Linked DNA regions of Canis lupus familiaris. The protein of the gene in region 1 interacts with the protein of each later gene in a pairwise test. Links are inferred from orthologs where the notes say so. Each region holds a gene or a part of one and is shown in the gene's direction. Other genes may lie near its edges.

What was found. The genes of interacting proteins can lie anywhere in the genome.
Region 2: the proteins of RIC8A (region 1) and SH3GLB1 interact in binary tests that used the Homo sapiens proteins (3 or more experiments, as listed by UniProt). The link is inferred for Canis lupus familiaris from reciprocal best matches to the Homo sapiens genes RIC8A and SH3GLB1.

What each region holds. Positions count from the first base shown.
Region 1 is NC_049239.1:25,716,045-25,723,703, forward strand, and holds the end of RIC8A (synembryn-A), read left to right. Parts: coding exon 1-296; intron 297-738; coding exon 739-830; intron 831-1,352; coding exon 1,353-1,503; intron 1,504-2,528; coding exon 2,529-2,624; intron 2,625-2,706; coding exon 2,707-2,851; intron 2,852-2,923; coding exon 2,924-3,068; intron 3,069-3,463; coding exon 3,464-3,583; intron 3,584-3,996; coding exon 3,997-4,117; 3' UTR 4,118-4,786; downstream 4,787-7,659. Other genes in the region: SIRT3 (NAD-dependent protein deacetylase sirtuin-3, mitochondrial), read right to left, coding at 5,833-5,853, 7,226-7,435.
Region 2 is NC_049227.1:62,002,170-62,009,588, reverse strand, and holds the start of SH3GLB1 (endophilin-B1), read left to right. Parts: upstream 1-2,173; 5' UTR 2,174-2,470; coding exon 2,471-2,542; intron 2,543-3,112; exon of another isoform or gene 3,113-3,379; intron 3,380-7,419. UniProt on the Homo sapiens protein: May be required for normal outer mitochondrial membrane dynamics. Required for coatomer-mediated retrograde transport in certain cells. May recruit other proteins to membranes with high curvature. May promote membrane fusion.

The sequences.
Region 1 (7,659 bases):
GGCTCGCAGAGCGCGTGGGGCTGTATCGCAAGAGTAGCTTTCCACACGACATCCAGTTCTTTGATCTGCGCCTCCTCTTCTTGCTCACGGCACTTCGCACTGACGTTAGGCAGCAGCTGTTTCAGGAATTGCGGGGAGTGCACCTGCTGACTGATGCGCTGGAGCTGACCCTGGGAATGAGCCCTGACGAGAACCCCCCGGAGCTTCTTCCTCCCCAGGAGACCGAGCGGGCCATGGAGATCCTCAAAGTGCTCTTCAATATCACCTTCGACTCCATCAAGAGGGAGGTAGACGAGGTGAGGACTGACTTGAGCCCACAGGTAGGGCTTAACGGTGTGGACACTTGCTGGCTCTGTTTGCCTATAGCGAACTCGTAGGTTCCAGGTATCAGACGGGGAGAGGACGGGAAGAGCTCTCAGCCTATTGGGAGGAGGCAGGGAGCTGTACATCATGTACAGGGGCCTTCAGAGACTGTCTGAGAAAGGCAGAGGGCATACCTGGCACTTGCAGCCTGGTAGGAGGGCTGTTTGGTACATGGAGAGGTCACGAGCAGGACACTAGAGTAGGTTGTGATTTTTATCCCAGGAAGACCTGGTAATGGTCTTGGTTAAGGAAATGCTTTCAAGGCTACGTGGGGGAGGACGAGGGGTTGGGCACACAGTAGAGAAAATGCATAGTCCGTGCATGTGATCCCAGAGTGGGGCCTCCTCTCACAGGAACCCCTTTCTTTTTGGTCAGGAAGATGCGGCCCTTTATCGGCACCTGGGGACCATTCTGCGGCACTGTGTGATGGTCGCTGCTGCTGGAGACCGCACAGAGGAGTTCCACGGGTGAGGGTGGGGCCCGTTCAATGGAAGGGAAGTGTGCTCAGGGGTCTAGACAGTAGTTCTCACCCTGGCTGTCGGCTAGGCTTCCCCCTGGAGAGGCTTCACCTACAGGGGTGGGATTTCCATCAGTGTGTGTCTATGGTAAGGGGCTAGGACAAGAGAAACGAATCCAAGAACGGTATCTGTGTCTGCAGTGGAGTTAGTAGTAACCAACCACGTGGTAGTTAGCGAGTAACTGCTGAGTTCTGTTTCGGCGACTTGTGCCTGGGCAGGTTCTGGCGCTCCAGAGATTGTCCGCGGGGCTTCAACCCAGACGGAGCGTGCCCCCTTTCTTAGGAACTCACCCCACCGACTATGTGGGAACATCTCTAGGGTCAGTCTCACCCTCAGTACCGGCCCCTGGTTCTGGTCATCAAATCCCTAGATGCTAGTTCAAGTCACATGCGGCCTCTTTAGGGGGCAGCAAGGCTTGTACTTATGCTGGGGGGTCGGACCTATCAAGCCCTCCTCCTGATCTGTCCTCAGCCACACAGTGAATCTCCTGGGGAACTTGCCCCTCAAGTGTCTGGACGTCCTCCTTACCCTGGAGCCACACAAAGGCTCCCTGGAGTTCCTGGGAGCGAACATGGATGTGATTCACGTCCTTCTCAGCTTCCTGGAGAAGCGTCTGCACCAGGTGGGCAGAGGGACCTGACCTGTGGGGTCCTCAGTGGCTCTGACTTTCCCAAGCAGCCTTGATCACTGCTTTTTTTACGGTCACACTGGTAAGCAGAGTGTGATTCAGGCCATTTCTCCAGCTGCTTCGTGGTCCAGTTTGGCAGAAAACCAGATTCTACCTCCCTCAGAAACACGTGGCCCCTCTCACACGCACACACTTGAAGGTTTTACCTGTGCTGGTTATCTTGACGGGTTTTCAGAGTCAACAGCGGAGTTTGTGTCTTAGAGCTGTTTGTGGCTGTCTCTAGAATCCTTGCCTGTGCCGTCAGAGCACTAGCATTGCTGTGTGCAGGCAGCCCTCGGGACGAGTGACACTTGTCTCTTGGCATCCCTTGGGGAACCCACCACCACCTCGAGCCAGAGGCTGCCTGGTTCCCATGCCTGCACACAGGACGTTGGCCAGCTAGACCTCCAACCAGCCCCTCTGGGATACTGCAAAGCAAGATGGAGTGAGATTAGTTGTCACGTTGCTCACGTGCGCTATGAGCTGGGTCCCTTGCATTGCACATCATGGTTGTGACTGCTTCTGCCACAACCCGGGGTGGGGGGGGGTGGTCCAGGGAGGTCACTGGGCGGGGGGGAAGCCGGGGAAGGACAGGAGCTCTTTGCTCACTGGGTCCATGAAGCCCACAGGGTAGGGATTTTGTTTTTGCGTTTTGGTCACTATTTTTTGAGGACGGGTCACGTGCCACTGGTGTGCTAACGGCTACGAATGTTTTGTGTTTTCCCTACGACTTTGGTGTGTGGGTGAGGAGGTTAGAGCAGATGAGTGGCCCCAAGTCCCAGAGCACACGAGAGCCCTAAGTGCAGTTCCATCCGCGGCCCCTTGAGGCTCCCAGACGCCCAACGCCCACTCTTGGCCCCTCAGCTGACTAACTGTGGCAAGGCGTCTTCCCGAGCGCCTCCTGCCAGGACCATCCAGTGTGCGCGTGTAGCCCCCTGACCTCAGGTCAGGTGGGGGCGGTGACAGAGGCTCCTCTGCAGACGCACCGGCTGAAAGAGAGTGTGGCCCCCGTGCTGAGCGTGCTGACGGAGTGTGCTCGCATGCACCGCCCGGCCAGGAAGTTCCTGAAGGCCCAGGTATGGGGGCTAGGGGCCAGGACGGAACTCTGGTCAGACCCCAGCCGCTCCAGGCCCAGGCTGAGGGACGGCTGCCTCCCAGGTGCTGCCCCCACTGCGGGACGTGAGGACTCGGCCTGAGGTCGGGGAGCTGTTGCGGAACAAGCTTGTTCGCCTCATGACGCACCTGGACACTGACGTGAAGCGAGTGGCCGCGGAGTTTCTGTTTGTCCTGTGCTCTGAGAGTGGTGAGTGCTGGGATCTGCCCCCACACCTGCCCCTCGCCACCTTCACACACTGACCTCTGCCCTGCCCCTCAGTGCCCCGATTCATCAAGTACACTGGCTACGGAAATGCTGCCGGCCTCCTGGCTGCCAGGGGCCTCATGGCAGGCGGCCGGCCTGAGGGCCAGTATTCGGAGGACGAGGACACGGACACAGATGAGTACAAGGAAGCCAAGGCCAGGTGTGTGCTCCTCCACCCTTGGCTGCCCTCACTTGGCCTGGTCCCAGTTCCCACACCCACAGGGTCCCGCAGGGTGAGTGGGACGGGATGACAGATGTGTCAGACTTTGGGGAGTCAGGCCTTGGTTCTTGGTATCAGGTTATTCCATTGAGAACATGGGCTGCAGGAGCCAGGCAGTTAGGGGACCAGCAGATCCAGGTGGCAGGAGCTGGTTCACTGCTGCTCCTGGAGGGAGGCCCCTGCAGCCACCTTGCTTCTTGCCATTCCTAGGAGAATGGGTTTCTTGGCAGTCCAGGCCCAAGCAGGATGTGTAGGACCCCACCCAGCCGGGGCAGCTGCCTCTTGTTCTAGAGAGGCACTCATGCATTCCCTATGCCCCCTCCCCTGGGAAGCAGCATAAACCCGGTGACCGGGAGGGTGGAGGAAAAGCCGCCCAACCCCATGGAGGGCATGACGGAGGAGCAGAAGGAGCACGAGGCCATGAAGCTGGTGAACATGTTTGACAAGCTCTCCAGGTACGTGGTGTGGTGAGGAGGGGCCCCTGGCGGGGAGAAGGGAGAACAGAATCCCAGGCCCGGGTCCAGCCTAGTGAGCTGCAGGGGGTGGGGTCAGTGACGGGCTTATGCAGGGCTGCCTCACTCAGGTTGGAGACAAAGGAAACGCCTCAGGAAAGGATTAGATTTGAGGTTGGTATTACGTTTATCTCATAGATGAGATGAAAATTGAGACCTAGAGAAATTAAGAGACTGTGTAAGGCCCCAAAGCCACCAGGTAGTAGTTGGGACTCAGGCGTGTCTGACACAAGTTCCCACCCTGGCTTCCCTAGTAAACGGGAGCAGCTTGGAGCACATGCACGGAGCCAGGGGTAAGCGGGACTGCCTCACCTGCCGGGCCTCTCCCCCAGCCTCACCATGTTCTTCCCTCGCAGGCACAGAGTCATCCAGCCCATGGGGATGAGTCCCCGGGGTCAGCTGACGTCTCTGCAGGATGCTATCTGTGAGACCATGGAAGGGCAGCTCTCCTCGGAACCTGACTCAGACCCCGACTGAGGACAGCCAGGCTCTGGTTCCCCCTTCAGAACTGGTGCTGCTTCCAGAGATGTCCTTGGGACTGTGACCCGGGGAAACCATGTCCCTCTCCAGCTCAGAGATCCCTCTCTCTCTTTACCTCCAAAGTTCTGTTAATGATTTGTTTCTGGTCCGGTTTCTTATCTTTAGGACTGTGAGGGTCTGGTCCTGCTGCGACTCTGGGAACTCAGCCTTGATTTCTACTGATGAAGTGGCCTCGGGTGTATGCCAAGAGGATGGGGGCAGAGGCTGAGTGTGGGCACACCCAAGCATGTCCCAGTCTGGCATGCCTGCCTAGAGCTTCCACAGCAAGCAAGTGCTGCAGTTCACAGGAAAAGAGCTTGCCAGAACTGTACACACTAAGGACAGAAACATACATCCAAGGTATGCGCTGCTACTTCTGTCCCCACTGAGCTCAGGACTGGTAGCCTCTTCCGCATCCTAGGTCCTCGCTCAGCCGTCTGCTCTAGTATCCACAGCACCCAAGCGCTCACCGCTTGTGACAGTGGAGTCCTGACCTTCCCACTGGCGTAGACCATAAATACATGAGGAAAATGTACCTTGTAAAACCCTAAGTCTGGATTTCTATCACGTTCCACAAAGCATCCTAGAAACACCATCTTGGAATAAAGAGTTTCAAGCAGGAGCCTATGTATGAGGAATTAATTTCATTCCTTTCAGAATTCAGCCCTTTTTCTACAACATTAGTCACATCTGTTTTTGAGGAGTCTGTTAAGTGTGCCACGGGCAGGGAAATGATGCCCAGCATGAGGGACCACACACAGGGTAAGAGCCAGCGATCAGGAAGGTGTGCCTGAGTGGTGCTGTCCAAGCTGGGCCTTGCGGCAGCCCCAGCACAAGAAACCTCAACAGGAGCAAGAAGTGCGGGGTGAGCCAGGGGCCAGCTGAGGTTTTCTCAGAAACGCCTTCCACCACATAGAGGTTAATCCTGGGGGCGTTACTGGGAAGGCCTGCTGGGGAAGCTGAGGGGGAGGCATCCAGGTAGAGTGAACAAGGTACGACGCCCTTCAATGAGGAGTGCTGGGGCTCTGTGGGAAACGGCACTAGGCCCCACTCCAGGGTGAATCCAGGGGCATGTTCTCCATCCTTGAGTTATTCCAGTGGGGAGGAATGTCCACACACGCCCAAGGTCCCCTTTCTACATCCATTGTCAACACTCACATTCCCTTTGAGGAGACCACAGTGTTTATTTCATGCCAAAAATGAACAATGTTTCCCTAATTAAAGATAACCCCACAAAAGAGGCCAACAGGCTATAGGACCCTATTGTATTACTTCGGACCCAGGACCACGCCTTGGGAACAGCTGTGGCCACTCAGCCCAAGACCAGGTCTAAGGGACAGAGGCTGAGTCTGCCCTTCGGATGGAGACCTGGACACTGAGCAGATTCAGTCTGGGCTTCCTGCTGGTCTGAGTTCAAGAGGGTCACTGTCAGAAGAAAGCTTTTGTTTGGCATCAAGAGCTTCAGATTGAAGAGTCAAACAGCAGAAAGATGCCGGCAGCTTGGCACCCATGATTGGGGTGGCCCACAGCGTGAGCAGAACACGACTTGGGCAGCCTCACACTCTTCCTCAGGCCACCGGTCCTGGTTCAGCCAAAATTGTTTACTCAGAGGTGGGCAGTGACTCCTTGGAACCGTTTCTGTTCCCAGGAGGGGTGGGGGACCAGCCATGATCCTATCCGTCCCGTCCATCGAGCTGGAACATGGAGGAGAAAGGGAATCAGTCCTGTAGATCTCAGGGCCTGGGTTCCAACTATTTAATCAAATAAAAGCTTTTCTGCCTCTGCCAATGCTGCCATTGAGCCCAAGTAACACGATGCCAGCAGGGCTGGGCGGCAAAACACAGGGCTTCATTTAAGTAACCAGGTGAGATGTGCTGAAGCTCACAAGCTCAAAAATAGGCATTATTTGTGGAATTAACCCCAAGGTGGACTGCAGTTCATCCCTCGGTATTTCCTATTGGATAGCAACTCTTCGTATGCGTAAACCAAAACCAGAACCCACTTTACATAAAATTATAAAGATTTTAATTACATCTTCACATAAGATTATAAAATCGCACAGACCAAAGTCTGTAGGACTTCTTCCAAAAGTCCTTGGGGGCCACTTGGCTTAGTCTTGTACGGAAATAGGACGTCAGAGCCAGGAAGCTGCTAGGTGGATCTGACCAAAGCACCCGCTGCCTGTCTTCCTGATGTGCAAAGTATAGGCTCCGGAGCTACCTGCATTCTCTACTTCCCTAAAATGATCCAGCAATATGACTTTGACATTTATAATAAGATAAGGGGTGATACCAGCCTACATCTTAGCCATTAGAGCCAAACTCTGGAATGGAGAGATAGAAAAAATAGCAGCCACAATGTCTAAAATGTGTGGAAGTCTCCTGGCCTTAATAAGCCTTATATTCTTTCTTTGGTTCAACTTGGTAAGAAAGCAGACTGCAGCCAGAGGCTGGGGGCTTCTGCCCGGAAGGGTGAGGGGAAGGCCTGACCCCGGACCCGAGACCCCTGCCCCCCTGGGCGGTGTCACATGAGGATCCTCAGTGATGACTGGACTTCGAAAGCTTAATGCTGCCTCCTTTAGAAAATCAGCACTCACGCCAGGGCCACGCATGCTAACCGATTCTCCTGGGAAACTTCACTTGGAACAGGTTTGGAACCTCAGGAGCACCGAGCGTCTTTGGCTTTGCACCCACAGCGGATCGATACGGGCCAGCAGCTCTCGTGATCATCACAGGAGTGCATTCCCAGGGTGGGCTTCACCCCACACCAGCACACACAAGTTCAGCTCCTCAAAGCTCATCTCCGAGCCACACTCAGCCTGGAGCTAGCTGCTGGCGGTGCTTTACTTAGAGGACCCAGCCGGTCTGCCCGCACCCAACCGCAGCTCCGTCGCTGGGGAACAGGCAGCCAGCGTCGCTCTCATAAGCACACGGACAGCCTCGGACAGTGGCCGGGACTGGGTTAACACCGATGTGCGCTATTCCTGTCACTGTCTTAGCCAGCTAGGGCTCCACATCAGGGGCACCTGGACCCCAGAGCAGCGAGGACCCTGCTTGCAGTCTGTACCTTTTCGGTTTCCTGCTGGATGAGGTCCTGCAGCTCTTCTCTCCAGCCCAGAAGCTCCACCAGCCTTTCCACGCTGTGAACCACATCCCCCAGCTGGACCACATCCCTGCTGCGAGGACACCAGGCAAAGGGCCCCACCACGTCCCGGTTGATGAGCAGTCGGGGCACTGAGCTCCGCACAGCCTCAGACAAGCTGGCGAAAGGTTCTACCTGAAAAATTGCCCACACGTGAGGAGGCCAGCACCCACCCTGTCCTCCAAGCCCCGCAGGACACGTTATGCACAGCCTGAGGCTTTGAAAGAGCAGCTCAGACCGATGGTAAGGCCTTGGATACAGGGCACATACACCACCATTTCCTTCTAGTCACGCAGCCTGCCCGGGCTCTAGGCCTGGGTCCCTCTATGTCTCTGTCCATGTCCTTCTGCTTCCCACAC
Region 2 (7,419 bases), on another chromosome or scaffold:
TGATTAAGAAACTAATGAAAGAAAAGAGAACAAAAAAGTGCTAAACATTCAACTTAAAAAATATGTACAGTAAAGCCATCAGAAGTGCTAGCAGAATAGAATGCGCAAGTCCAGGAGGTAGAGGGAAAACCAGGAAATTATAAGGGTCTCTAAAGGAGTGCATCGTTGGAAAGGTGGTGACTAGTCACTGTGAAGTCTGAGAAAAAGCCGATGAGTTAATCAAGAGGATAACTGGCAACCTCAAGAATGCTATTTAGGTATAGTTATAGCAGTGTAAGTCAACTGCATTCAAACAGGGAAGAAATGGATAGTAAGGAAATGGAAGTCTTATGATTTTGTCAGTGAAACAACAGAAACAGTATTATAGCCCGGAAGGGCTCAATAGGAAGAAGTGAACAGTTTGTTGTTGTTTTCAAGTTAGGAAGATCTACATGTTTGAGGAAGAGGATTCAGAATTTTTTCCTTTAATGGTGGACACAGTCTTGTGATCCTAAAATAGAACAATTATGCCATAGATTATGGCAAATATACCTATTGTGAAAGTAGACGTCTAGAAAAAAGTGCTTTTCTATATAAAAATCTAAAATGGACAGTAAGTGAAAAACAAGATTCCTGATTACACATTTCCTTATTTCTGGGAAAACAGATGACAGATACATGAAGTGGTTTCCGTCTTGGAGACTCATTCTTTTGGAGTTACCTTAGAAAGAAGCAGTTGCTTCTGTCACCACCACAAAAAAAAAAAAAAAAAAAAAAAAGAACACGGATATTTTTATATGTATCTGCTGTTCGTTATGTCTTTTAGGAAGTAATCGTTCAGCCTTTAATAACAGCTAGGGCTTCTGAGACTGCTTCAGTAAATCACTTAAGTGCGAACATGGGCTCGTCTCGTTGCCTGCTGGGCCTGCATTTTCCCAGCCCTAATGTCAAAGACACAGCGACAAAAAAAAAAAAAATAACATGGACTGTTTTCTTACTCTTGAAATACTGTCTCTCCCTCTGTGCTAGCACCTATTTTAACTTAATTCAAGCTTAGGCTGTATCATGAAAGATGCTTAGGAAGTTACATGGGATCGTGGGCTCCTGAACAGATTCCGCATCATATTCTCGTTTGTCATTAGAATTCCCCAGGCTGGGGCAGCCCGGGTGGCTCGGCGGTTCAGCGCTGCCTTCGGCCCAGGGCGTGACCCTGGAGACCGGGGATCGGATCCCGCGTCGGGCTCCCTGCCTGGAGCCTGCTTCTCCCTCTGCCTGTGTCTCTGCTTCTCTCTCTGTCCCTCATGAGTAAACAAAATCTTTAAAAAAAAAAAAAAAGAAAGAAAGAATCCCCCAGGCTGGCTGTTAGGGCTTAAGAGTTAATCTATCTCACTCACCACTTTATACTTCTATGTGTCCTCCACCTGGCACTTCGTGTCCCCCGTCACCAGACTTTTGCACATAGGAGGCCTAGAGTGTTGCTCCGGTAATCCAGGCAGTCACAAAGTCCCTGCAGCTGCAAACTGTTAAAAGAGCTTCAGGTGGGGGCGTGAAGACCCGGACGGTTGTCAAGTAACCGAACTGCGAGCTTCTTGCGGCCCGGGACAGTCTTGACCAGCCCCTGCCTCAGTCCTGGTGCACAGAAGACCCCCGATCATGCTGAATCAACAGCCGACTCGGTGGGGACTATAACTTCAACCCTATTCTGCAGCCGGGTGCTACAGCATGACAGCGAACTGCTGGTTCTGATCTCACGGAGGGTGTAATCCGACGCTACAATTTTCCAATTTTCTCTTACAACAAAAAAAGGGGGACGCCCGGGTGGCTCAGCGGCTGAGCGCCGGCTTCGGCCCAGGGCGAGATCCCGGAGTCCCGAGATCGAGTCCCGCGTCGGGCTCCCTCTGCCTCGCTCTCTGGGTCTGTCATGAACAAGTAAATAAATCTTTAGAAAAAAAAGGGGGGGGGGATAATTGGGGTTATCTCTGCTTGCGGTTTCCAGGGGCTTCACCTGCACGCCGACCACAGCCACTCGGCTCTGGAGGCTGCGGCGCGACCTCCCGGCGGCGCCGCGGCCCCAGCTTCCGGCGCGCCCCGCGACTGCGCCGCCGCGACCCAGGAGGGGTCGCTGTTCCCGCGAGAGCCTCTGGAAAGGCTCCACCCCGCGGCGGGCGCCGGCTTCCTCCGCCCGAGGCCCCGCCCCCCATGGCGGATTACCGGCGCGTCAGTGTCCCGCACGCCCCCCGCGGCTGGCGCCGACGCTAACGCTCAGCTCCCAGCGCCTCGGGCTCGGCCGCCGCCCCCCAAACCCCCCCGCCCCCCCCGGGGCGCGCGGCCCGCCCCGAGGCCCTCGCTCGCTCGCTCTCCTCGCCCCACCCTCTCGCTTCCCCTTCGCGGAAACGACAGCTGCGGCGGCGGGCCTGGCGCCGCCTCCCTCCACCTACCACGTCTGCCCCCGCCACTCCCTCCCGGCGCACCAGCCCGGCTGCCGCCCAGCATGAACATCATGGACTTCAACGTGAAGAAGCTGGCGGCCGACGCGGGCACCTTCCTCAGCCGCGCAGTGCAGGTACCGCGGCGGGCGGGGGCCGGGGGCTGGGAGGAGGGGCGGCGGCGCTCTCCGCACCGGTTCCCCCGGGCGGGCGGGCGGGCCTGCGGCCGGAGGCCTGGGTGCTGGGTGCTGGGCGCGGCCTGCTTCCCCTCCGGGGCCCCGCGGCCGTCTTCCAGGCCCCCTGGCGCTCCACCGCCGCTTCTCCGGAAGCGAGGCCGGGTGGGGCCGGGGCCCGGAGCTCCCCCCGCGGCGCTCCCGCCCCGCGGCGCCGGCGCCGGTGCGAGGGCCCTTGGAGCCGCGCGCAGCGGCCGAGGGACGGACTTCCTCGCACCGCCCCCACCTTCCCTCAGGTCGGCCTCGCTCTCGCCGCCGCGTCCCAGAAGTCTCCTTTTCCGTCAGCCGCCCGTCTCCCTGACAGGACGGTCACCGGTGGGCGTCCCGCTCCGCCGAGGCCCCGGGAGGCCCGGCCTTCGGGGGTTCCCGCTCACGCTGAGAGTGGGAAGCAGCGGCGGCTGCCGGACGCGGAGAGGAGCCGGGGGTGGGGGTGGGGGGTGGGGGTGTGGGGGGGGCGCCGTTGTCGCCAGTTCTGCGTTTCAGATGTAGCTCTCTGGCGGCGTTGCGCAGTCAGGGAGGCGTCCGCCCTGGGGACCCGGGGACGGTTTTCCCCCGTCGTCGCCCACATTATGCCGACTCCGTTAAATCTGTGAACAGACGTAGAATTTCACCACAACACGAGTTACAAGCCAGCCGGCGTTTTAAGGCAATGGCATAGTCCCGGCAGAACAACATTCTCCTCTGTGAAGAGAAAACAAAAACTAGTTTTCTGACAGGCCTACCAAAACAGATAACCGCGGTGTAAGTCACGCGTCCGGCGTTTACTACTCTGTCTCCTTTGCCCCCAGTTTTGTTGTTAGAGTTGCTCTTACAGTGCACTGTTCCTGGCGAAATAAATGAAGAAGAAGGAAGAAAAAGGGGGGGGGGGGCGGAATGGAAGAACTAGAGCGAAGTAATAGCTGCTTATGTTGTGGGGAAAAAACTGTCACACAGTTGCAAGGCATTTGACAGATTATCCTATCTAATTTTGCCAGATGTTGTGAGCTCCTATTATATATGAGGAGGCCGCCTCAGAGAGGTTAAGAAACTCGCTTAACTTGCACGGCTAGTAAGCTTGCTGTCTGGTGTGCTGCTGGTTGCAGGCTGCTCCTCTCTTCCAGGGTAGGCTTTGCAGATAGAGAGTAGTAAGAATACAACAGGCTGGAGAGACCTTAAATATCGCCTGGTACTCGAATCTCAGCATTTCAGTCACATTGAAGCAAGTAGCGGTTAAGGCATGCGAAATTCCTTCTTGGTCTTGATTTCTAAATTCTGACATCTGCATAGTAAGTGATAGGCTAGCTCCCCTTTCTCCATGAAAATATAAGCTATGTTGTGAAGACATTGAGTGGAACGGTTAAAATAATTTCTTGATTTAAATTAACCTACTTTGAATAGCTCAGAGACGGAGGGCAAGAGAACGAGTGGTTGAAGGTCTGAAATGAATTTGATATATGAGACTTAATGTAACCTGAAAAGAGGCCCTTGGTGTTGTTTATTTCTGATTCCCAATGATTTTGTTTGCTGAGTGGAGATTTGACATTATGATGACACTGTTTTAAAGACAGGTCTGTTTTCAGGTACATAATCCACCGTTTAAATAGGACACGTGTACTAGAATTTGATTTAAATTGTTGGTAGCCTTTATTTAAAAAATCTAGCAAAGCTCTCAAAAGATGTAGTTCCTAGATGAATTTCAGTTACTCATAGTTTCACATTCTTTAGTTTTTAAAGTCTATGCTAATCTGTTAGCTATCAAATAATTTTCACTATTAAATACTTCTATGCCTATACCGTGTCTGCCTGACACTACTATTTTGGACACTGGTGATAATACCAGTATATAAAATTAGCAAGACATCTGCACTCCTGGAGCTTACAATCAAACAGTAAATACATCAGATGATAGAGAAAAAAGGTCACAGGTGATAAGTTAATGGCGGGGGGGCGGGGGGCGGGTGGTGGTGGCAATTTTTGCCATCTTATTTAGACATAAGATTACGACAAGCCTTTCTAGTAGGATCAAATTCCAAGAGACCTCAAGGAAGTGATAGTTCAGTTTTTTGGAGGAAAAGCACTTTAGGCAGAAGGAAAAAGTCCAAATACTTTGAGGTTCTGGCGTACTAGGGACATCAGTTAGGGAGCTGTAGCCATAGCATAGGCAAAAGGTGATAGAACGTAGGTGAGAGAGATGATATCATAGAAGGTTCAGAATCTTTTCAGTATGGTTCCCAAATTGGCTGTAGGTTAGGAAGGAAAGATGAGTTAAGGATGACTGTAAGGTTTTGGCTTGAGCCATATACTGAGAAGGGATAGATTTCAGGAGGAACAGACTCCTTCAATATGTCTTTTTTACATTAAGTCTGTATCTGTTAGAAATAGTTTCTGAAATATTTATGTATAAACTATAGCATGTCTGAGGATTTCTTTAAATATTCCAGAAGAGAAAAAAGGGGACTAGTTGAAACATTGGCAGAATGTTGACAGTTTTGAAGTTGAGTTTCAATATACTATTACACTTTTGAATGTTTGACATTTTGCACAGTACTGGGGGCTTTTTTATTACGTAAGAAAAAAATTAATTCCAAAATGTAACACGTGAAATTTGGAATGTTGTGTGGTAATTTTCAACAAAAACACTATTTTGTCATTTTAGTATTTAGTCAATAATTGAATTCCCAGTCTAAATTGCATTGACATCCGTATAGTGTCAAGTGCCAAGTTTCATGCTAAGAATAGGGTAAGAGCTATGCCAGTTACTCATTATAAGCAATAAGAACAGAAGGAATGGAATTCAGCTTTCTCATTTCTAAATAATAATTTCTATTCAAATTAAATTATACCTTAAGGAATAGATCATTCTCTGGGTGACCGACTGCCATATCTTTTTTCATTCTACTTAAAAATTTTTAGGTTAGAAACTAAGCATTTTCTGTTTTAAAAAAGAAAAACTATTACACAAATGAGTTTCATCACTCTACTCTCATAACATCTGTTTATATGCCATGCAACTTTGAAAAAATGTTGAGGTAAAAATTATAATCAGTAAGAACATACATTCCTTAACACTCTGTTTGGATGTTTTTGTTATTCTTAACTCCCTCAAAATGATAGAATACAAAAGCATCAGGTAATTTGTCCTCCATAAGTTACTTTATTAGTGTCTTAAAAGCCATTTATTCTTACTATCTGTATTTTTGGTCCAGACGCCTGTGTTGAGCATTATATACTCCTTTCCTGCCTTGTCTTTTCTCTCATATATACTGTATTCCTATCAAATTATTTTTTTAATTTCCAAAATACATTGTACTTTTCTAACGCTAGACTTGACTGGTCTTACAGTCTCATCTTGAATGCCCTCCGACCCCTCCCTCTGTCTTTCCTTCCTTCCAGATAAAACTCCAAGCCCATCTCAGACCACAAGAGCTTGATGTGAATTCCTGTGTTATTTTTCAATTCCGTATGATCATGTGGCACTTTTCTTGGAATGAACTGTTATGTAAAGTCACTTAGAGCTGTAAAATTGTTACTATATGGCTTTCACATCTTTATATTAAGATTGTATGTCCTGAGGAATCAACTTTGTTTCTTCTTTCCCTCTCATGGTATCCAACATTGTTCTTTTAAAATTTTTTATATGATTTTAACCAGGCAGGGTATCTATATGAAAGATACTCTTTGAATCGTGTAGCATGTTAAATAATTTTGTTATTTTTATTAGTATTTTCTAACATTATGTCTGCTGAACTTGAAGTTGACTAATGCCAGTCTAAAAGATTAAACTATTCTCGGGCACCTGGATGGCTCAGTCGGTTAAGCGTCTGCCTTCCACTCGGGGTCCTGGGGATCAAGCCCCAAGTCTGGCTCTCTGCTCAGCGTGGAGCCTGTTTCTCCCGCTCCCTCTGCCTCCCTATCCCTCCCACTCCCCCTGCTTGTGCTTTCTGTCAAACAAATAAAATCTTTAAAAATAAATATTAAACTGTTTAATTCAACCTATATTTATTGAGTACCTCTTGGGTGCTTGGCACTGAAGTGCAAAGATGAATGAGACCTAGTTGTTGCCCTCAAAGACTTAGTAGTCCAGTCCCGGTTTGTCATAATTATTTCTTTTTCTTTGTAATAAATATCCATTTTGTGAAGTACTGTTCTGTTACTTCATTTGATAAATGTTTCAAGTGGACACATTTTTACTTGATATTGAAGCAAATCTGCTCAATGTCTTTAAAATAAGACCATATGCTTTCCAAAATAAAATATTTTCAACTGCAATTACTTAGTTTCTTTTTAATTTTCTAACATTTCCTCTGAACTAACTCCTGAAGTTATACAATGAACTTCATGAGTACGAGCTATTTTCTGAGGGAGAAAAGTCTTTAAAGTTTAGTTGCAAGCTTGGCTTTCATCCTCGATTTAATTTAGGGGAACAATGGTGTGTCTAAGCTGGAGAGGTAAAATGAATATGATGCTGCCCTCCTGTTAGATCCTATCTGGATGGAATTCCTACTTGGCCAAACATTTGCCCAAGCCCTTTTGAAACCCTGTTTCCTTTATGGAATTTAAACTGCAGCAACTTCACCATTCTCTCAAATTCTAATAAATAAAACATGTCACATTTAAAGTCCGTACGTTTACTCATTATGTAAAAACTTTGCATATTTAGTGTTACCCTAAACTTCACATACTTGGGTGTTTTTGGTGTTAAATCTAGTAGACTACTAGATAGAAGATGGTTTGTTAACCTGACGTTAAAATAATCACCTGTGAGCTTAGAATGGTAGTTCTCAGTCTTAGTTGCACTTAAA